Linked DNA regions of Saccharomyces cerevisiae S288C. Changing the gene in region 3 together with the main gene of any one other region gives a genetic interaction. Each region holds a gene or a part of one and is shown on either strand. Other genes may lie near its edges. The genes, in order: PHO89, FEX1 and PHO91.

Region 1 (8,081 bases), on a different chromosome or scaffold from region 3:
TCAATGAAGGATGGAGCGTGCCTGTTAGTATTGCTCCATTCAGTTGTCATCCAACCATTGAAGTGGGAAGGAAGCATTTAGTTCGTGTAGGCTGCACGACCGCTTTATCCATAATATTGACGATCCCGATTCTCGTGATGGCTTGGGCTCCACAGCTTCGTGAAAAAATTTCCACTATCTCCGCGTCAATGGTGCTAGCAACTATTATTCAATTTGTTATTGCAGGACCGTTTTACTTAAATGCCTTGAAGAGTTTGATATTTTCCAGGCTCATTGAAATGGATCTACTAATAGTTTTAAGCACTAGCGCTGCCTACATATTTTCGATTGTATCATTTGGATATTTCGTTGTTGGACGCCCGTTATCTACGGAGCAGTTTTTTGAAACCAGCTCTTTGCTTGTAACTCTCATCATGGTTGGTCGCTTTGTGAGTGAACTAGCTAGACATAGGGCTGTAAAGTCAATATCAGTACGTTCCTTACAGGCCTCTTCTGCTATTCTGGTGGATAAAACTGGTAAAGAGACGGAAATTAATATTAGACTTCTCCAATATGGCGATATTTTTAAGGTTTTACCTGATTCAAGAATCCCAACTGATGGAACAGTCATTTCTGGGTCTTCTGAAGTCGACGAAGCGTTAATCACAGGTGAATCTATGCCAGTCCCGAAAAAGTGTCAATCAATTGTTGTTGCAGGATCGGTGAATGGCACTGGTACTTTGTTTGTGAAGCTGAGCAAGCTTCCAGGGAACAATACTATTAGTACCATAGCCACGATGGTTGATGAAGCAAAATTAACTAAGCCAAAGATCCAAAATATCGCTGATAAAATTGCAAGTTATTTCGTGCCAACTATCATTGGAATCACTGTCGTCACCTTTTGCGTTTGGATAGCGGTTGGAATCCGTGTGGAAAAGCAATCCCGCTCCGATGCCGTAATTCAGGCCATTATATATGCCATTACGGTACTTATCGTTTCGTGTCCCTGCGTGATTGGACTTGCCGTTCCTATCGTATTTGTTATTGCAAGTGGCGTCGCTGCGAAAAGAGGGGTAATCTTCAAATCAGCAGAGAGTATAGAAGTTGCTCACAACACTTCGCATGTTGTCTTCGATAAAACGGGTACCCTAACTGAAGGAAAACTTACTGTAGTACATGAAACTGTTAGGGGTGATCGTCATAATTCTCAATCTTTGTTGCTTGGATTAACTGAAGGAATAAAACACCCAGTTTCCATGGCAATAGCATCCTATCTCAAAGAAAAAGGTGTTTCTGCTCAAAATGTTTCTAATACAAAAGCTGTGACTGGTAAGCGGGTAGAAGGAACATCATACTCTGGTTTGAAGTTACAAGGAGGGAACTGTCGTTGGCTTGGTCATAACAATGATCCTGACGTTCGAAAAGCCCTTGAACAAGGATATTCTGTATTCTGTTTTAGTGTTAATGGTTCAGTCACTGCAGTTTATGCATTAGAGGACTCTTTACGGGCAGATGCTGTCTCCACTATTAACTTGTTACGCCAAAGAGGGATTTCACTACACATTTTATCAGGGGATGACGATGGAGCCGTTCGTTCTATGGCAGCCCGTCTTGGAATTGAAAGCTCCAATATTCGTTCTCACGCAACGCCTGCAGAAAAGAGTGAATATATTAAGGATATTGTCGAAGGAAGAAATTGCGATAGTTCTTCGCAGTCAAAAAGACCGGTTGTTGTTTTTTGCGGTGACGGAACAAACGACGCAATTGGTTTGACTCAAGCAACGATTGGAGTTCATATCAATGAGGGAAGTGAGGTTGCCAAGCTAGCTGCTGATGTAGTTATGTTAAAGCCAAAGCTCAACAATATTTTGACTATGATAACTGTAAGTCAAAAGGCCATGTTTAGGGTCAAATTGAATTTCTTATGGAGTTTTACTTACAACTTATTTGCTATCCTTTTGGCGGCTGGTGCCTTTGTTGACTTTCATATTCCACCAGAGTATGCGGGTTTAGGGGAACTAGTTAGTATCCTCCCTGTAATTTTTGTAGCTATACTTCTGCGTTATGCAAAGATTTAGTCCAGGTACTGCTGCTATTTGATTGTAGATTTTCTTTTTTCTTTTCTTTTTTTTTTTTGACGACTCTGTAATACTCTATTTATTATTTAGTTTAGTTTTCTATTTAATATGATGGAATTCATAAAAAAAAAAAATACACATAGCCATGCCAGGTAATTGCAGATCAACTGATAAATTAGAAAAAAATTAATGCATCTTTAAGGTTTTAAATTAGAAATGTTTTAACTTTAAAGTCACTGAGCAATAAAAGTTCTACCTAATGTTGTAAAACTGTATTCATAACCGAAACACATTATGATTATGTCATTTGGTATTCCACACCAAAGCGAGGAGCATTCAAAATGATACCATTTATGATACCGGCAATCAAACCAGCAATTGGTAAAGTTAAAAACCAACCAGAATAACACCAGGCTACCATTCTCCAATTAACTGATTTGAGATCCTTGTTACATAAACCAACAGCGACAATACCACCAACGGCGATCTGGGTTGTTGAGGTAGGAATACCTAATTGGGTAGCCATGACAGTAGTAATAGCAACAGCTAGTTCAATTGAAAAGCCTCTTGATGGCGACTGCAAAATCATCTTATTACCTAGATTTTTGATAATATTGTAACCATAAGTCCAGCAACCAATAACTAAGGCAACACCACCATAAGCCAGAACCCACACGGGAACTTCGGACTTTGCCCCAATAGTGTTAGTTTTCCAGATCACATACACAGCAGACAAAGGACCAGTAGCGTTGGCAACGTCATTAGCTCCATGAGCAAAAGACATAGTGGCTGCAGTAATGGCTTGGAGAACCGAATAGATATATTCTACTCTATTGTCGTAAAATTTAGATCTTTCGTACATTCCTTTCAGGTCACCAGATAACATATCTCTATCATTAACTTGAGCATGAATGACGTCTTGAGTCCAACCATGAGAGATTACTAACCAGAACAATAAGGGCCATTTTTTAGGTCCTTGCTTTAATAATGACCACCAATATTGTTTCGTTGACAACTTTGTTTCTGGTTCAGTTTCAGTTCTAACCAGGTCCACTTCCTGGATGTCTTCTTTGTTTTTGACGGAATCATTAGAATTACTCGCTGCCTTATTTTCTTCGTCTTCAACAGAAACAGTTGTTCCAAGATTTCTTCTGCCCTCGTAATAATCGATTGTTAATTGATGGCCTTCTGGCATTGGTGGGATATCATCAGTGGACTTAAAGTAAAAAGATGGACCTCTGAAAATATCAATCAACTTTAGTGTCCAATCTTGGTCCAAAACTTTTCTTCTGTAGAATGGGTAGAAAAAGATGAAGTAAACGATCGAAGCAATTGCACCTGTGAGAACAATAGATACGGCAGTTTCAGTTTCAGATAAATCGTCCAAGTGTAGGTTTGGAGAACCCTTCCAGACAATCAACATTGTTAAGATAGAGAAAGTGGCGAATACTAAAACACCAACCAGCAGTAAAGCATTCTTAATCGATCTTTCCAAAGACTTAACTTCAAGGACAGAAAACCTAGAAATTGAAAAAACTATAGCTGCGATCGCGCCTGCCAAAATCGGAGCAATGAACCATGACGCAATAATTTGAGAAACACCACTCCAACCCCAAACGACACCGTTAGCTCCACCGGCTGCAATCCCAGCGCCAATTGTACCACCAACAATGGAATGTGTAGTAGAAACTGGCATTCCGATTGCAGTAGCAAATGTTAACCAACAAGACGAGCCAATCAAAGCACTGGTCATAGTAAGCATTAAAACAGCGGGGTCGTTGGTAAAAATGGAGGAATCTATAATGTTGTTCTTGATAGTACCAGAAACTCTTGCGCCTGCCAAGACAGCACCCAAGAACTCACAGAGACCCGCCAAAACCATGGCTTGCCAGTATTTTAGAGATCTAGAAGAGATCGACGACGCGAATGAGTTCGCCACGTCGTTTGCCCCGATGTTAAAGGCATCCAAAAATGCAAATAACATGGCAATGGCAAAAATATAGTCAAATTGATGTAAAGCCATTTTTGCTTAATCTTTGTTTATATTGATTCGATTAGATACGCTCCAGTATTCTCACCTTTGATCTATGTCACTCATTCTATGACAATTCATGTAAAATAACCTCAATGTAAAGATCATCTTCAGCAGGTTTATATATAATTTTCTTCATATCGAAAACCGGGCTTAGTGACATGAATTGTTTGGAGATGTCCACCCAGTAGACATTGTAAAAAAAATCTGCTATTGACTGAGTTAATCTAATGATTTACATAATAGAAGGATCCAAAGTGGCTGTGACATCTAGTATTGATAGATTAGTATTATTACTATTTGTCTCCCACGTGCTGCATTGTCATATGCAATTTATTAAGATTACATAAACTCCTTTGTACGGTATATTCTTAAAGCCTTTCAATGACTCGGGCCAATTTTTAGCAATATTTCGACATTTAAGGGCCCACTAACAAATTAATGGCACAACGTGGGGATGACGAAAAAGCAGAAAAAGAAAAAAAAGGTCTATCGCACAGCCACACACCCTTGTGGTGAAGCCGTTTTGTGATCGGTGTGGCGCGATCTGTGAAATTTAAACTTTTTTGCGGGTGAAACCGAGATTTCTGAAACTAGATTTTCTGGCTTCGCCAAAGAAAGATGCATCGAATTAATGAAATTAAACGGATGTAAGGAATGAAATTATAACGATTCCGCTAATGTTCTTTACTGACGAGTGTCACTGAAGTACTTACTCGTGAACAAAAATTAACCTATATCAGTAATTTTGATATTGTTAAAAGTAGGTATCTCTATCAAAAGAGATTATAAGACCCATCGGCAAAACTCGAAATATCGTCTTGAGAAAATCATTATACAGTACATGGTGCAATTTTAAATGATTTTTAAATACTATTATATAATCGATACATTTAGTACACGCGAAGACAACGTAGTGTTGAGATTCAAAGAGGTTACAGTTGAATACGTGACAAAGCTGACGAGAGTACTGTGAATTCAACAAACCATAAATGGTCACTCCAAGTAACGGTATTGTGATTTCAACAGAAAACACAAGCATTGTGTTAGCGTGCTCGTAAAATATTATTTCAGCGGTGAAGCAGATATGCGTTAAAGGTGGGCTCGCTATTAAATCATGAACGAAAAAACAGTTATGTCGTTACTGGTGTGAGTCGATATTACGAAACCACTGGCAGGTAGATGGATAGAATGGGACTGATTGGAACAGCGCAAGTTTTTTTCCGTGGTCGGAATTCTCGTAGTAATATTGGAAAATAGTTGGAAGAAAAATTGTGTGAAAAAATACATGCTGAAATAGTCAAACGAAGAGAGGTGAAGAATAGATAAAGCTGTTGAGAGGCAAGACAATGTTTTCAAGATGATCAGAAAAGGATACGGTCCAATATCTATTTATATTCATTGCCCTACCGTGGTATGTTAAAAAAATATGTTACATTTATTGCTCCCATTGGATTTTGCACAGGTGTGAAAGAGCTCAGTTGTCAAGATTTAGTCATTAAGAAGGGCCGCAGCAGCTTTTTGTATAATAGAGCGTCTTTTTTGTTTGTGAAAAAAATTTTATGGTGAGATATTGTTCGATTCTACGAAGTCATTTTACTAGTTTATGGACTCTGATATAAGACAGAGTTGACAAGGAAATGGTGCCGTGATTGTTTCCGTGTACAGCTTTTGAGAACTTCCTTGAAAACCAATCATCTAGCACTTTCATTTCTGGGGAAAAACCTGGAACCAAATCTTGAAAAATAAATTCCCCAGAAGTTTTCCTTATTCCGTGTTCTAATCTTCTCGTTCACTTTGCAGTGACATTCCACGGCCATGCGCAATTTACCCCGCCCCCGGATTTTATTGTCCGTACCGCCATTTTTCAATAGATTAAAAAGGAACAAAAAATCATTTCAGAAGGTTTCTTTCTCGGGAAAACACTAGAGTGTAAATATTGAATATCAAACATCGAACGAGAGCATCTTGAAGATATTTATGTTCTAAATATGACTTTAGTCAAGTATGCATGCGACTATTGTCGTGTCCGTCGAGTAAAGTGTGATGGTAAAAAACCATGTAGTCGCTGTATTGAGCACAATTTCGATTGCACATATCAGCAACCATTAAAAAAAAGAGGCTCAAAGCCTATTGGAACTAGAAGCTTAAAGTATATACCAAAGGCCAAAATGTTTATAGATAATAAAAGTTGTACGGCAGCGGCAGAAATATTAATGAAGGTTCCTAAAAAGGTGATTGATCAGTGTTTGAGGCTTTATCACGACAATCTATATGTTATCTGGCCTTTACTCTCTTATGATGACCTTCACAAGCTTTTGGACGAAGAATACAATGACCATTACGTTTATTGGTTTCTCGTAGCTCTTTCAGCAGCCAATCTTAGCGATCTACAAAGCGAATTAGAATCTGAGGGGGGATTTTCGTTTACTGGAAAACAATTAGCCGTTCTCTGTATGTCCTCACGCCAACAATTTGATGACCTTAGCGGCAGAGACATTTTCCGAATTATGACATATTATTGCTTGCTACGTTGTTTTTCACAGTCTTCTGATGTAAGAAATTCATACAGACTTTGTCGTGAAGCTATTGGCCTTGTTATTGTAGCAGGGTTACATCGTGAAAAAGCATACGAATCACTATCATTTCGTGAGCAACAGCTTTTACGCAAGGTGTATTATTTGCTTCTCTTGACGGAAAGATACTATTCCGTATATGTTCATTGTGTTACAAGTTTGGATACCACAATAGCTCCACCTCAGCCAGAGTTCGTAACGGACCCTCGACTTTCTTTGGATAGCTTTTTTGAGATGATTAGAGTATTTACTGTACCAGGTAAATGCTTTTTTGATGCTTTGGCTACGGAGTCTACTAGCGGTTCTTGCACTGAAGACTCACTGAAAAAAATATGGAAAGAGCTTCACACAGCATCCCTTGAAATAGAACCATGGTCTTATGGCTATGTGGACATTTCATTTTCTCGACATTGGATTAGGGCGCTGGCTTGGAAGCTAGTGTTTCAGATGAATGGTACCAAGTTTTTCTCAAACGCCAATAATGCTCACATATTGGTCGAAATTGCAAAGGATATGCTGGACGACATATTCTTAACTCCAAACAACCTGTATGATGTACATGGTCCTGGAATACCAATGAAATCATTGGAAGTAGCCAATGCATTGGTAGATATCGTAAATAAGTATGATCACAATATGAAGTTGGAGGCTTGGAATATTTTGTGCGATGTATCCAAGTTCGTTTTCTCCCTGAAACATTGCAATCATAAAATGTTTCAAAGGTTTTCAACTAAATGTCAGAGTGCTCTAATCGATTTGCCTATCTCTAGACCACTGCGCCTAAATGATGATTCCAAAGATGAAGACGACATAATTCCTTAATTTATTGTTCACGCCGTTCACTTATACGAGATAGATATACTGATAGAGTGTGAGTGATATTCTTAAGTCTTGCTTTTCGAGGGTGTAAGAAGCTATGTTCTTCAGGCGAGATTATTCTACTCCTGCCTTACTTGTTTGTAATATTTAGTTCTGATGGTCATGATAATTCTATATACAGTTACATTAAGTATATACTTAAGCGGGCAGCTTACTAATATAAATTTTGTGGCATTTTTGTTGGGATATGAGAATCATGTATCGTTGATTTACAAAGCGAATTTACGTTACCAGGAATAGGGAATACTCTCTTGAATTCTAACATAAGCACAGAAATGCTGAAAGAATACGTCAAAAAGTAAATTTACAGAATTAAAAAAAAAATAATTGTTGCCGGAACATGAATAGAGTGTATCAATATACAATATAAAAATTCAAGCATTTTCATTAACGGGAATGAAAAAATTGTATATTAGTACTTCTTTTTGCAAGATATTTAAATCTAGGACCCTCATCACAATGATTCATTTAAATCATTAACGTTTTTTCAGAACAAAATAATAACCTCTAGTTGAAAAAACTTCAAAGCCGCAACAA
Region 2 (7,436 bases), on a different chromosome or scaffold from region 3:
GTTAACAGTGAATAATCCAAGAATAGTATATTCCGCATAACATCAAAATAGTTTTATTACTGGCATGTCTTTTTCATTCGGAGTTCTAGTATCGGTGCCTTCCTAGTAAGGAAATTCCCGATTATAAGGGAAAAAAAGAAAAGGGATAAGCCGCTTGGGCTGTTGGTCCAAACAGAATGTTTTAAACCATAGCCAAACAAGTGCAAAATAGAAAAGTTGGGGTTAAAACTCTCTTTCAAGCCTATCCTCGAGTGGTGACAAAATAGGTAATTTCCGACACTTTTTTCTGCTACTAAGCACCGTGAAAAGAGAACGTTTCGAGAGTACATTTCGTACTGAATGTTGTATAAACTCTATGCTTCTAAAGATTTATCCAAACCGTTGGAGCTTTCCCTTTATTTCTACATAGGTTTCGAAAACGGTCTCCTACGGAGCTTCTCCTTTTATGGCGATCTGTTTTTAAAGTGTTTTTTAGAAAACCATTAAACTCGAGGCTTGGTTTATTTTTGCCTTCGAGATAATTTTCTCTTTTCCTAAGAAATTTATGTTACGCCAACAAAGACAACTAATAAGGTCTCAGTTCCTCTTGATCGTTAGCGATAATGCTTTTTTTTTGCACTTGCGGAGTGTAAATATCTATAGAAAAATAAACCACTTGAACAAGGGGAGCTTCAAGAACCTTTATGCATATTATCGAAATTTTTAGAGAAAGGTTCACGATTCAAGCTTTGTTTACCAATGTGATGTATTACAGTGTTCATGTCACTTGCATTGACATTGTCTTTACACCACATTAAACACAAGTTAACAACCGTTCTCCGGGCAAAGCGAGACGATGCAGTAATCAGCGGCAATGAACTACGTATGTAAAAAAAAGATCGGGGTGTAAAAATTCTATGCCAAGAAAAAAATTAAAAACAAAATAAAAAAAAAAAGAAACTTGCGGCTCTTCACTCTTAAAAGACAAAAAGTATTAGGATGATAAAAAAAATTCATAAAAAAAAAAAATTCTATGGCCTCAGTTCTCGAAGAGCCCATTTATAATTGTTTACATAAATAATGAGATTCCACCGTCAAGGTACCGCAGCCACCGTAGGCGTACTGCTCATTGTGCTGCTTGGTTTCTGTTGGAAATTATCTGAATCTTATGGCATAGTGTCAACTGCCCTACCACACAAGCAACCTGCAACCAAAATCACAGACACACCTTCTATACGATGGGATAATTACCATGAGTTTGTCAGAGACATTGATTTTGATAACAGCACGGCTATCTTTAATTCCATTCGAGCTGCTTTAAGACAGTCTCCATCGGATATACATCCTGTCGGAGTATCTTATTTTCCCGCTGTAATTCCCAAAGGAACTTTAATGTACCATGCCGGATCAAAAGTGCCAACTACCTTCGAATGGCTGGCTATGGACCACGAATTCAGCTACTCTTTCGGCTTGAGGTCACCATCCTATGGGAGAAAATCTTTGGAAAGAAGGCATGGGAGGTTCGGCAATGGCACCCATGGTGATCATCCAAAAGGGCCACCACCACCACCACCACCAGACGAAAAAGATCGAGGTTCACAAAAAATGCTTACCTATAGAGCAGCACGGGACCTCAACAAATTTCTCTATCTTGATGGGGCTTCTGCTGCAAAAACTGACTCAGGAGAGATGGACACGCAGCTAATGTTGTCAAATGTTATTAAAGAGAAATTGAACCTTACAGATGATGGTGAAAACGAACGAATGGCCGAACGACTCTACGCTGCTAGAATATGCAAATGGGGGAAGCCATTCGGGCTTGACGGAATTATCAGGGTAGAGGTTGGCTTTGAGGTCGTTTTGTGTGATTTTTCGGCTGATAACGTCGAACTTGTTTCAATGTTAGAAATGGTCCAGCCTAACCAGTACCTAGGCTTACCAGCACCTACCGTTATATCGAAAGAGGAAGGTTGGCCTCTGGATGAAAATGGAAACCTAGTTGAAGATCAGCTAACAGATGACCAAAAGGCGATTCTGGAAAGAGAAGATGGTTGGGAGAAGACTTTTTCTAATTTCAACGCAGTTAAGAGCTTCAATCAGTTGAGAGCGGGTACAGCGCATGACAACGGGGAGCATCGAATCCATATCGACTATAGGTACCTAGTGAGCGGGATAAACAGGACTTACATTGCTCCTGATCCTAACAACAGAAGATTACTCGATGAAGGAATGACATGGGAAAAGCAATTGGACATGGTAGATGACTTAGAAAAGGCTCTGGAAGTCGGATTTGATGCCACGCAAAGTATGGATTGGCAGTTAGCATTTGATGAGCTTGTCCTTAAATTTGCTCCATTACTAAAATCTGTTAGTAACATACTGAACAGCAATGGTGATATTAATGAGTCAATTGCCATCAATGCAACAGCACTCACATTGAACTTTTGTTTAAGGTTTGAGCCTGCAAGCAACAACAGTGATGAATTCGGTAGCGGGAAAGACTTTGCTGTCTACCAATATGTGAGCCCATACCAGGCCTTAAAAACGGATGCAGACTTTTTGATTTGGTCATCTGCTGTCAGCGTGGTCGGAGAAATTGTTGATGCCATTTATAAAGTGAATGATTTATTGATACCCGAAGTCTACTCTTTTATGACAGATAACACAACTTCCAGCGACTTAATAAAGAATGTCGAAACGGCTCGCTCCACTATCGATGGTTTAATTGAATCTCTAGGGTGGATTGAACTAAATTACCGTTGTGAGAGACAATGCAATTGGGATGAAGTTTGTTACACTCCTTCCTGGGGCCCATCTCCAATGGGTATGACTGAACCAGGTTCCCACAATGAGGGATTTGGAACCCACTTTGATGAATCTCGACAAAGGTTGGTTATTAACAGTAAACTACAGTGTATCAATATAAATGATTTGATGGTTAATCGTAATCATTAGCGCCTCCTGTGAGAAGGCCATTGTGGGACAGTATAAAGGGTATGATTTCTAGATAATCTAATAATGATTATGAAGTTTTTGAGATTTGGGGTGATACACATCTATGAATTACTAAGAGATTTGAGACACAGCGACAGTCATGCCAGCAAGATTTAAGATTTTCTTTATTTAGTGTTTATATACATATCAGATATCTGTTGAGTATTTTCTATTTTACCAAAAAAAAAAGATATGAAATCAAGATAAAACGTCGTATGAAAGACAAGGGAGCTCAGCAGCAATATCATAAAGTAAAGCAACAGCGCTTGGTTTATGTACAATGAACGATCTGAAAATTAGTTGGCAGCGGAGCTACGAATACATGTCAATATTACGTTACGATTGTATAACAGGGGAGGAGAATCGTGCACTTTGATGGGTATATCGAAAGATGGTGACTATGCTAGAGTCACTGTCAGTGAGGAGTTGCGATGTATGAAAGATTCACTGACATAAAGTGGCGCGATTCATGTAGAAGTGTAAATCACTTTTGACGCAATGATGGAAGAGATACAGAAGAGATACGGAAAAAATAAAACAAAAAACAACTGAAATAAGTACTAATGGATTATATTTATTGCCGCCATTATTATTTAGCCTCTGGTGGCTCAAGAATCTGCAGTTATTTAATTATTTAATCGAGCGTGTAATGCTCTGATGATTTTCAATCCGGTCATATCAAATCACAAGTTGAGCCATTATATTCATGTTTTTTGTACATTCACCACGTTCTGCATATTAGGTACTGAAACACGTCAGGCTATAACGGCGCTTTCCACCTACACTCCGGCCTTCGTTACTGCTCCGACCGTTCTCTGGTCTAATTGTTCATCCTGCATGCTAATGGGGATTATGCAATCTTTAAATGCTTACACTTGGATGAAAGATCACCAAGTCTTGTTTTTAGGTGTAACTACTGGGTACTGTGGTGCCCTGTCTTCCTTTTCTAGTATGCTGCTAGAGATGTTCGAACACTCTACAAACTTAACTAACGGTAATATCGCTAACCACACAAAACTGCCGAACAGAGCTTACGGTATAATGGAGTTTTTATCTGTCTTGCTCGTTCATCTTATGGTTTCCATGGGTAGTCTTATTTTCGGTAGGCAACTTGGTAAGGAGGTTATTGTTGCTTATGGATCTAGTTCGTTTTCGAAGCCATATACCCCTCCCTCAGACACTGTAAAGGAAAATGCTGGTGATGTTGATACACAAGAAATGGAAAAAAATATTCTAGAGTTTAAATTCAAAACTCCAGCACCATTTTTTAAGAAATTTTTTGATATTGTGGATAAACTCGCGTATGCACTAGCTTTTCCATTAATTATTTTGTTTGTGGTGCTGTGTGCGTATTATGAGAACTATTCGAGGGGCAAGTGGACACTACCATGTCTATTTGGAATTTTCGCTGGTTTCCTAAGATATTGGTTGGCAGAAATGTTTAATAAAACAAACAAAAAGTTTCCATTGGGTACTTTCTTGGCAAACGTTTTCGCCACTTTATTGATTGGCATATTTACCATGGTGCAACGTGGTAAAAAACACTTTTCTACGGACGTTCCAATTGTGAACTCGTTGAATTCATGTCATATTGTTTCTGCGTTAATATCCGGATTTTGCGGCACTTTGAGTACCATTAGCACGTTTATCAATGAAGGGTATAAGCTATCATTTATTAACATGCTTATTTATTATACTGTTTCGATTGCAATTTCATATTGCTTATTGGTGATAACTCTCGGATCCTATGCTTGGACTAGAGGATTGACCAACCCGATTTGTTAGGATCTTTTCTTTATACTTTTCCCTGCATAATCATCCCACTTTTTTTTTTTTTTTTTTTAATTCATTTTCAAGATTTTAGACGTTGTATAATACATTTTTACCCACTACTGCGGTTTATTGTAATATTTTGTGAGATTTTATGAATGCGTTCCATCATCTATTTACTACAAAACGATAAATTTCCCCGTTTTCTTTTACTTTTACTTCATTTAATATAATTCATATTTATTTCCCATGTACCAATTAATTACTCATAAAAAGAACAGAAATAGAAAAAAGTTGTATATAACAAGCCAAAAAAAAGAAAAAAAAAGGAAAAAAAAGAAAACACAGCTTATTTCAAATTGCAATCTGCGTATTTCGTAAGTAACGAATGATCTCACAGCATTGCTTTTTTTTTTTTTTATATATATATGTACATTACCTATGTCACATATGACCATGATGAATACAACACTAAAAACCAAGGCCTACTATTCAATTGTTCTCTATATGATTTCCATTCTAGCAAAATCGAGTGCTACCGACCTGCCGTTTTCTTTACCTTTCGAACCATTGAGCTGTTAGCCTTCTCTTCACAGAAACTGAAAGTCATTAAAAGCCTCCCCTTCAACAATTCCCTTGTCTTTTGTTTCAGCTATATAATGCGTTTATAGCTCTAATTGTGGTCGAATAGGAAGAATTTGCGTTAACACCCGTAACTAGCTTTCCATCTGTAATAGAGTAGTCATCCCAGGGATGGATTGGCGCCAAGTACTTGGCTCCATTCTTGTTTGCAACGCGTTCAACCGTTGTCAATTTTCTGCTCCTCAAGATGTCGTCAACTCCCAGGGCGATTTCACCCTCGAGTGGGAAACCTGTTATAGCTTTGCCTTCGATTAATGGTCTTGTTGTTTTGATATCTATTAATCCATCGAAAAGGAGCGGTCCATGACAGATGGCAGCGATCACACCCCCATTGGCATATATCTTGGATGCAATATCTTGCAGATTTTTAGCTTTGGGATAGTCAAATAGAGCACCATGTCCAGCAGATGCAAAGAATACTTTATAGTCGCTGGCGTTGACTTCATTTGCGGTCTTGATCCTCGCTAACGCCTTATTGAAGGCGGAATTTTTCGTTTCAAAGTTCATCTTATCTTCGCCACCAATAAAGCTCTTTGGCAAGTAATGTTCATCCCAGCCAAATCCACCAGTCTCAGAAACGAAGTCCACTTCGAAACCATGCTTTTCGAATGTATCGAACGATCGCAAAATCTCAACTACAAAAACGCCTGTTTTCGCACCATCTTTGTAGAAGGGACCGTGGTATGAAGTAAGAGATATTAGCGCTCTTTTTGGAGTCATTGCAAGGCCAGTTTTCTTTTTGAATGAAGGAGAAAAGTGTTCTAGAAATATGTTTTAGTTCTAAGTATCGTTGTCTGGAGCAAGCAAAGAAAAGCAGACCTGTATGTGCAACTTTCCTGTTTTCCATTAAAATCTCAAGAACCGACCCCTTGACTGTGCTCATATATCAAGTATCGGTTTTAAAGTCCCCTAATTGTGATAATTGCAAGAACGACAGTCAGAAAGATATTTTTTTTTTTCTTTCTCTTTACCTATCCTCCATAAAAATACCTATGCTGATACTGAATATCTTCATTTGCAGCTATGCAATATTTCAGATACCCCATTTTACCCAAGAGTTTCTTACTGGTGGTTGGATTTTCTTTAAGACGAGAAGATTACCAGTCCTGGATGTTCGTGAATGTGCCTATTGCGTCATCAGCGACTCCGCGCCAAGAAAAGAAATACTCGCATGCTCGGATTTATAGAATCGCATAATGGAAATACCTTCCTTAAAGGATGGAGATAAGGAAAAAATGACAAGAACAAGGAAGTACTTGGGAGCTTTCTCCGACATGGTAAATATTTGAAACTCACGCAGCTCTCCTGGAAAGTTGGATCTGGAAAGGTAAGGTTGTTTTTTTTACAGACATCAACCAAAATCGGTTCTTGTAGTAGACAATGTCACAGATCGCCACAAGTTGAAAAAAAAGTTTCGATGAACTGGATAAGGGGAGAGGTCACAAACAAAGTGTAGGGGGTGAGTAGTATAGTGGTAACTTGTTCATTTACCTAAATAACATTCTCACTAGAAAAGAGATATTGAAAGACTCCTCGTTTACCTAACTTGGCTGGTTCTTAGGTATATAATAGAAACATGGATCTGGCAGGTTATCACTTACAGTTTGCACTCCCACCAGGTTACAATTTTCATTATATATAGTTATTTTTTACCACCACTTCTTCTTCTTTCACTTTGTCTTGCAATAGAAATACCAAAACAAGGTGAGGAAAAAATCGAATCTCAACGATAAAAATATGTCCATCACGAAGGTACATGCTAGAACGGTGTATGATTCTCGCGGCAATCCGACTGTTGAGGTTGAAATTACAACAGAGAATGGTCTCTTCAGAGCGATCGTCCCATCTGGTGCCTCCACCGGCATTCACGAAGCTGTTGAACTTAGAGACGGGAACAAGTCCGAATGGATGGGAAAAGGGGTGACCAAGGCAGTCAGTAACGTCAATAGTATCATAGGGCCTGCTTTAATCAAGTCCGAATTATGTGTAACCAATCAGAAGGGCATAGACGAGCTCATGATATCGTTAGACGGAACTTCTAACAAGTCAAG
Region 3 (7,754 bases):
ACTTTCCTACAATTTTCCGGAGTCGGCTGGAAAATTTTCAATTGCTGCTCTTGGGGTAAATTTGCGTATATAGGAGTTATAATCATTTGTTTTGTTCTAGAACCTAATTTAGACATGATCTCCTCCAGTTTGGTTTTTGTTCTTTCAATTTCTTCTTGCCCCGTTAAAAACACCAATATATCCCCCGGTAAACTTTGCGTAGTATGAATTTGAAAAATAGTTGTTATAGCGGCATGTATATAGTTTGCCTCCGGCTGTAATGTGTAGTGGATATCTACAGGATATCTTCTCCCAGGAACGTTGAAAATGGGACAATTATCAAAAAACTCTGAAAATTTTTTTGCGTTCATTGTTGCTGATGATATAAGCAATTTTAAAGTGGGCCTCTGCGGCAAAATATCTTTCAGCAAACCTATCAGGATATCTGTGGCTAGAGTACGTTCATGAGCTTCATCAATCATAATACAAGAATATTTGCTTAATTTGGAATCTGTAAGAAATTCTCTTAGTAACATACCATCCGTCATATACTTTAGAACCGTTTTATTTGGGGTTGTTTTGTCTTCAAAACGGATCTGATAACCCACTTCCTTCCCAAGCACAACATTCATTTCATCTGCTACTCTTGCAGCAACAGAAGTGGCCGCCACACGACGTGGTTGTGTTATGGCAATCTGTAACTTTCCCTGATCAGTGAATCCATCTTCTACCAAATATTGGGGTAACTGTGTGGTTTTACCAGAACCGGTTTCACCCATTATAATCAAAACTTGATTTTTTTTGATCTCTTGTAGTAGCTCATCCTTGTATTGATGTACAGGCAAAAGTTTTCTTGCCTCTTGTATAGTCAGTATACGCTTTTCCTCAGTTTCTAAAGCTTGTGCTAGACGTGCCTCATATTGAAGTTTCTCTTCAGGTAGTAAATCGTCCTCCTCATTAGTATAATCAATCATTGCATCTGTGTCGAACACATAATCGTACTTGTCAGAGCCTTCCAATGTTATATCATCAGGGTGATCGCTTTGCCCCGCCATAGCATTTCGCAATTGTTGTTCTTCCCACATGCGTTGTCTGTTTATTTTGTCAATTTCTTTTGCATTCTTTATTTTATGAGTAACTTCTACGTTAAATTTAGAATTAGAAGAGGCGTACTTAGTTTCATTCTCGGAGTCACCTAGTAGACCCTTCTTTGTAGTAAGTTCATTATTTGACGTTATTTTTTCATCATACTTTGATGACTTTTTTTGTGATCCAAGTTGTTCTCCTTTTAAATTGTTCTTTTCTGGACCTTGGTTCGTATTAGAAAAAACTTTATTGGGGTCATAGCGTGATCGTTTTAGCTGCAAGGCAGAGTTCTTATCCTTGGCCTCTTTGTCTTCTTCCTCACCCAAGGAAGAAGGCTCTATTCTTACTGCATTGTCATTCTGTCTTGTAACTTCATACGTTCGTTTCACTCTTCGCTTACCGGTTTCAGATGTAATACTTGACATGTGTTGCTATACACGCTTGTTATCTATATAGATGCCAATTAAACATATAGCAGCTATCCGTTATTACTTATACAATTGATTAATATCACTTTTTAATTGTCCGGGTAACTAACTGTCTTCCACTTTCAGCACGTTCTCGTCATCAGGTTGTATGGGCTAGTACTGTTTTGGCTACATTTGAGATACGAGCACTTAAAGAATTCTTGCATATTTTCGATGATTAGTCTTTAATTTTCCCACTTGTTCTCACTATTTCCTCTATTGTCTTAATACGCTCACATATCGAAGTTTTTTTTTCATGCGATGAGCTTCGAGATGAAAAAAGGAAACTGAAAAATTTAGATCGATAAGATAAGAGATGTGATTTTTTTTTTTTTTCGTAAGGCTGTAGGCCTTGGATAACGTCTTATTTACTATTTATATGCGACATCTTCGATAATTTCATACGTTTAATTTCGAACTCGCATTTATTTTATTTATTATGTCCCATCGTATAGCACCTTCCAAAGAACGATCTTCATCATTTATTTCAATTTTAGACGATGAAACAAGAGACACATTGAAAGCTAATGCAGTCATGGATGGTGAAGTAGATGTCAAAAAAACAAAAGGAAAAAGCTCTCGGTATATCCCACCATGGACAACTCCATATATAATAGGTATAGGTGGTGCTTCAGGTTCAGGCAAGACAAGCGTTGCTGCTAAGATTGTGTCGTCAATTAATGTTCCCTGGACAGTATTAATATCTTTGGATAACTTTTACAATCCATTAGGCCCAGAGGACAGAGCCAGAGCCTTTAAAAATGAATACGATTTCGACGAGCCAAATGCCATCAACTTAGATTTGGCATATAAGTGCATTTTGAACTTAAAGGAGGGCAAAAGGACAAATATCCCAGTTTATAGCTTCGTCCACCACAATAGAGTTCCTGATAAAAATATAGTCATATACGGGGCCAGTGTGGTAGTTATCGAAGGGATCTACGCCCTTTACGATCGCCGATTGCTGGATTTGATGGACTTGAAAATTTATGTTGACGCTGATTTGGATGTCTGCTTAGCAAGAAGATTGTCGAGAGATATAGTTTCCAGAGGGAGAGATTTGGATGGTTGTATTCAACAATGGGAGAAATTTGTGAAACCAAATGCGGTAAAGTTTGTGAAACCAACAATGAAGAATGCAGATGCTATCATTCCATCGATGAGTGATAATGCTACAGCGGTAAATTTAATCATTAACCACATCAAGTCAAAACTGGAACTAAAATCAAATGAACACTTAAGAGAGCTAATCAAATTGGGCTCTTCTCCTTCACAAGATGTGCTTAATCGTAACATAATTCATGAATTGCCGCCCACCAACCAAGTTCTTTCGCTGCATACTATGCTTCTAAATAAAAATCTAAATTGCGCGGACTTTGTTTTCTACTTTGACAGGTTAGCAACAATTTTGTTATCATGGGCACTTGATGACATTCCTGTAGCACATACGAACATAATTACACCTGGTGAGCATACCATGGAAAACGTTATTGCCTGTCAATTCGATCAAGTTACAGCTGTTAATATTATTCGATCTGGCGATTGTTTTATGAAGTCTTTGAGAAAGACGATCCCCAATATCACAATTGGTAAATTGTTGATTCAGTCCGATTCACAAACTGGGGAACCTCAACTGCATTGCGAATTTTTACCCCCAAATATAGAAAAGTTTGGCAAGGTTTTCTTAATGGAAGGTCAAATCATAAGTGGTGCGGCCATGATCATGGCCATCCAGGTGCTTTTAGATCATGGTATTGATTTGGAAAAGATTAGCGTGGTGGTTTATTTGGCCACTGAAGTTGGTATCCGACGTATATTAAATGCATTTGATAACAAAGTCAACATTTTTGCTGGTATGATCATCTCCAGAGAAAAGTTACAAAATCATCAATACAAATGGGCATTGACCAGATTTTTTGATTCAAAGTATTTTGGTTGTGATTGAGAATAATTAGAGGCAATATAAAGTAAAATTAAATAATAGTGCACGTATACATACTATATTAGTAACCTTTCATTCTCTCTATGGATAATCTTAAAATCCCATTACTTTCAATATGCCATAACCTACTGTAACAATAGCGGCATAACTTAACAAACTGGCTGGTACACCTCTCGTAATAAATGTACCCACGGTCAAATATCTATCACCAACTTCATCAATCATTGAAATGGCAGTCACGTTGGGGAAACCAGAGGTTGGAAGACCCATAGCACTAGAGCATAATAGGGCGGCTATAACGATCAATAGTCTAGAATGATCACCTGAAGGTAGATTGGAACCGATCTCACTCATTAATGGTACGATGATCATTGCCGCGACGGTATGGGAGACAAAAGTGGCCATTACAAGAATCACTAGACCGAAGATCAACACAATAATGAAGATTGGTTCATGCTCAACCTGCGCCTTAATTAACTGTGCCATTGTAGACAATAAACCGGATGAGCTTACCGCCTTACCTAGGGTGGTACCTCCCATGGCCAAAACAACGATTGTCCACATGAAATTATTGAAATCATCCGAAGTTAGAAGACCTGTACCGAAGAAGACTACTATAGGTATAATAGATATGATTCCCATTTCACCAAAGATACCGGAGATTTGGTTTGAAAGACACCAAAGAACAATTGTTATAATGCAAACTAAAGTGACAAACCATTGCTTCAGAGTGAATGGATCACGGGATGGATGCAATTGCAAAATTTTCACATTTGGCTCAGGAGGGAAGGTTATGATCAATAGCACCCAAATTGCCATGACACAAATAAAGCACACAGGTAGCGCAATCATAAACCATTCAGCCCAAGATGGTGAAGGGTCCATTATACCAATAGAAAAAATGTTTTGAGGAGAAGCGATGGGAGAAGACATACCACCGATATTGGAGGCAAGAGCGATACCAAGAATTAGAGCTTTGGCATAGGAACAATTTCTTGGCAGTGTTCTGAGCAAAGGTTGAACAATTGAATAGCAAAGAACGGGGGCAGCAACATTAGAAACCCACATGGAAACAAAGAGCGCCACAAACATATTTGTTAAAAGAATAAAATGTGGGTTTGTACCGGCGGATGCCAAAATATGCGTAGAAAGGACTTTGGCAATGTTGTACTTGGAAAGGGCGGCTGCTAAAGTAAACCCACCCAGCAAAAGCATGATGACACTCGACCACATCGTTGATAAGATGAACTGAGAGGAATCACGGGGAGACATTGGTTGGGAGGTGATAGGGTCCTTGATAACAGGGAACACTACAATAAGCAGAGGAATCATTAGAGAAGTCACGAAAAGGGGGATGGTCTCAGTGGCCCATAATAAAGATGCATATATTAAGATGGCGAAACAGTTTTTCTGTAAGGAATCCTGCGTAAAAGGAGTCAAATTAAAAGTTAATAATGCAATGAAACATGAGGTGATTAACAGAAACTTCAGCAGGGAAGTTTGGCCCATGATAAATTGCAACCATTGCTTGGGTGGTAAATGCATGAGTTCACGGAAAGTTAGGGAATCCGTTGATGGAGCGATGATACCGGCGCCACCACTCGACATTGCCATGGATTCAGTAATGTTGGCATTGGGGCGCAATTGACTGGAACTCAACTTTGAAAACTTCTTGTTGTCAGTCTTGGCAGATTGGTACTTTCTCTCCAAATTCATCATATCTTTCCAAACGGTGTTTCTTTCCCAAACTACGTGATCTCTCAAATGAGAGGATAATTCACGCTCAGCATCCTGGAAATCGAGGACTTCTTGTCTGTTGCCATCTTCGTCTTCTTCATTACCGCTGCTGTTTTCGTCATTGTTGATTCGGTCAGCGTCCAAGTTAAACGTATTAGATGGTCGACGCGTGCCCTTGTTCAAGCTAGCGTAAGTGAGGATGGTCTCGGTAATGTGATGCTGAATCCTATTTATTGTAGCAGGATTGAAAACATGCGAATGGAATTTGATATAGTTCAAGTAGTTCTGCTTCAAGTTCGTATTTAAGGACTTGTCAAATTTCTTGCAGATCTTGGAGAACCCGGTCTGGTTCAACTCAATAAAGTCCTTCAACTCGGACAACTGGGTGTAGATCGATATCAATCTTTTCTTTAAAGAGAGCCTATGTTGGGTAAAAGGAGAAAGATACACAGGGTTAGAGTTAGAAAGCGACACTGAAGCGGAGGCCAGGTTTTGCATTGAGTTACCATTATTAGTCGTGTTCGAGACCTGCGTGTGGATGACGGGTGCAGAGTCAATCGACATGTCTGTCAGAGAGGGGTTGGAGTCCGTGGAGGAGACACTACTAAACCTTCTTTGGCGTTGTTGTGACTTAGACTTCCTGTTTCTTGCAACACTTTGCAGTTGATGCTGTTGCTGCTGATTAAACAATTGGGTGGCCTTGTTCGTGTTTTCCAGTTCCATGACATCGTCCTTCAATTCGTTGTAGTTGGCGATAAGACCTGTTTCTTGAGATATGTAGAATTTATCAATTTTTTTCAATTCTTGGTTTAAGGCAGCAACAAATTTAGAGATGTAGAATTGATCATCTGGAGAAGCATCTGCCAATAGCGGCAGATTTTCATCGTTGGCGTCATGTGGCTCCACAACATGGTGCTTATTGTTACTGTACAGCTTATCTTTTTGCAAAGAATAGATCAATTTTTTCAGCTGCGAATAGGCCAGATACTTGGTAGACCATTCTGGTACAGAATTGAATTGTAAGGAATGCGAGAACTTCATGTCAGTCTGCAAGTTACCGTGTCACCTTCACAGTTTTCTTTTTATTTGACTAAGTAAAAAAAGAAAAGAAGTTATTTTTACTAAGATTTTGAGCGGCATTTTTCCTAGTTACTTATCAATTTTCATACATGCAAGACATACTCAATTTTTTTTTTTTTTTTTCAGTTTTAAAATTAGTCCTGATCAAAAAGCCATCACGTGGATCCCCGAAAAAAAACGGATCCGGGTAACCAGAAGTATTTTTTTCAAGGGAATAAAAGTTACCCTACCAAAATAAAAAAATTCAAGTAGGGTAATAAAGTTCCACCCCCCATCAGGATTATCGTTCTCTGACATCACCCACTCTCTGCTCGCTCTCTGCTCGCTCTCTGCTTTCTTTCCCCACGCCGGAGTGATTAAGGCGGATAGGCCCACCTGAACACCTCGCTCAGAACATCAGCGAGAGTTCCAGCCCCTCTACCCCTTACCTCTCGCCGCCCCTCATTTCGGATCAAAAGCAAAAGAACAAAGGGCCTTCGCAGAAACGGAAGGTTTCGACCCCTCGGTGCCGTTTTAATTTCTTTTTCTGGCCAGTTAAGCTTTTTGACTTTCTCGAATCAGCCCAGTGCAAAACAGTACGCATACGAGCACACAAATGTATATATATGTGTATGTATATATGTATATAGGTATGTGTGTGTACATCCGAAGCGTAAACTAATGATCTGCAAGTTTCAGATTTTTTCTCGAAAAATATAACTAATAAACGTTCCATGTCGTCCACGGATATCAAGCCTTGTGCCGTGAACATCCCTGTTTCCGCTCACATCACCTTCCACTACAAGTCGATCGCGGACAGAAGCAGCAGCAGGAGCAGCAGCAGCAGCTCCTGCTCCTCTGCTACATCTAAAGCCTGCTCCCCCAGAGGCAGCTCCGTCGGCTTACCGCCTGCTTTATCAACTGACAATGAAATCGTCGAGACTGTACTTAATGTTTCCGCTCCCGTTGTAGCAGACCCTACGCGGCCCTCATTGTTCAAGAGTAACTACACCGCAGCCTCGTGCTTGACTTCTGACCCAACCTCGCCGTCACTACTGCCCTCTTCTAGGCGCAACTCTGTATTGCCGGCAAGCGACTTCCACCAATGCGCGCATCACAAAAACTTTCAAAGAAGGGCCAGTGAGCCACAACTGCCCTCCTTCGATAATCGCTCGTCGTCCGAGATGAAAAGGTCCGTCTCGTACGCCCAGCATAGCATGATGTTCCCCATCAGTGACCAACAGGAGCCGCAAACATCCGCGTCTCCTAACGACCACTCAGACCCGTCTTGTCCTTGCAACAGACATCACCACAGAAGAAACTCGGTCGCCGTCAAGTTTGACAAACCATTGTATGAGAGACTAGAGACGTAGTTATCCATTCGTCCATCCATCTGTCTATCGTCACACAGCATTTCCCATCCCTCCTCTATACATACATACATATACAGTTCTGCGTGGTCTACGCAGCCATGTATATATATA

What was found.
Region 1: mutations in PHO91 (region 3) and PHO89 are lethal when combined (synthetic lethality), as found in Saccharomyces cerevisiae (one study listed by BioGRID).
Region 2: mutations in PHO91 (region 3) and FEX1 together harm fitness more than expected from each alone (negative genetic interaction), as found in Saccharomyces cerevisiae (2 studies listed by BioGRID).

Annotation. Positions count from the first base shown.
Region 1 is NC_001134.8:794,443-802,523, forward strand, and holds PHO89 (Pho89p), read right to left. Parts: upstream 4,081-8,081; coding exon 2,356-4,080; downstream 1-2,355. Other genes in the region: cation-transporting P-type ATPase PCA1, read left to right, coding at 1-2,057; TYC1 (Tyc1p), read right to left, coding at 5,681-5,800; transcription factor MAL33, read left to right, coding at 6,081-7,487. UniProt on the Saccharomyces cerevisiae protein: Sodium-phosphate symporter. Active in early growth phase.
Region 2 is NC_001147.6:1,073,154-1,080,589, forward strand, and holds FEX1 (fluoride transporter), read left to right. Parts: upstream 1-3,630; coding exon 3,631-4,758; downstream 4,759-7,436. Other genes in the region: YOR389W (uncharacterized protein), read left to right, coding at 1,060-2,934; HSP33 (glutathione-independent methylglyoxalase family protein), read right to left, coding at 5,392-6,105; phosphopyruvate hydratase ERR1, read left to right, coding at 7,123-7,436. UniProt on the Saccharomyces cerevisiae protein: Fluoride channel required for the rapid expulsion of cytoplasmic fluoride.
Region 3 is NC_001146.8:645,461-653,214, forward strand, and holds PHO91 (Pho91p), read right to left. Parts: upstream 6,253-7,754; coding exon 3,568-6,252; downstream 1-3,567. Other genes in the region: DEAH-box RNA-dependent ATPase PRP2, read right to left, coding at 1-1,490; uridine kinase URK1, read left to right, coding at 1,972-3,477; YNR014W (uncharacterized protein), read left to right, coding at 7,005-7,643. UniProt on the Saccharomyces cerevisiae protein: Vacuolar phosphate transporter that probably exports phosphate from the vacuolar lumen to the cytosol.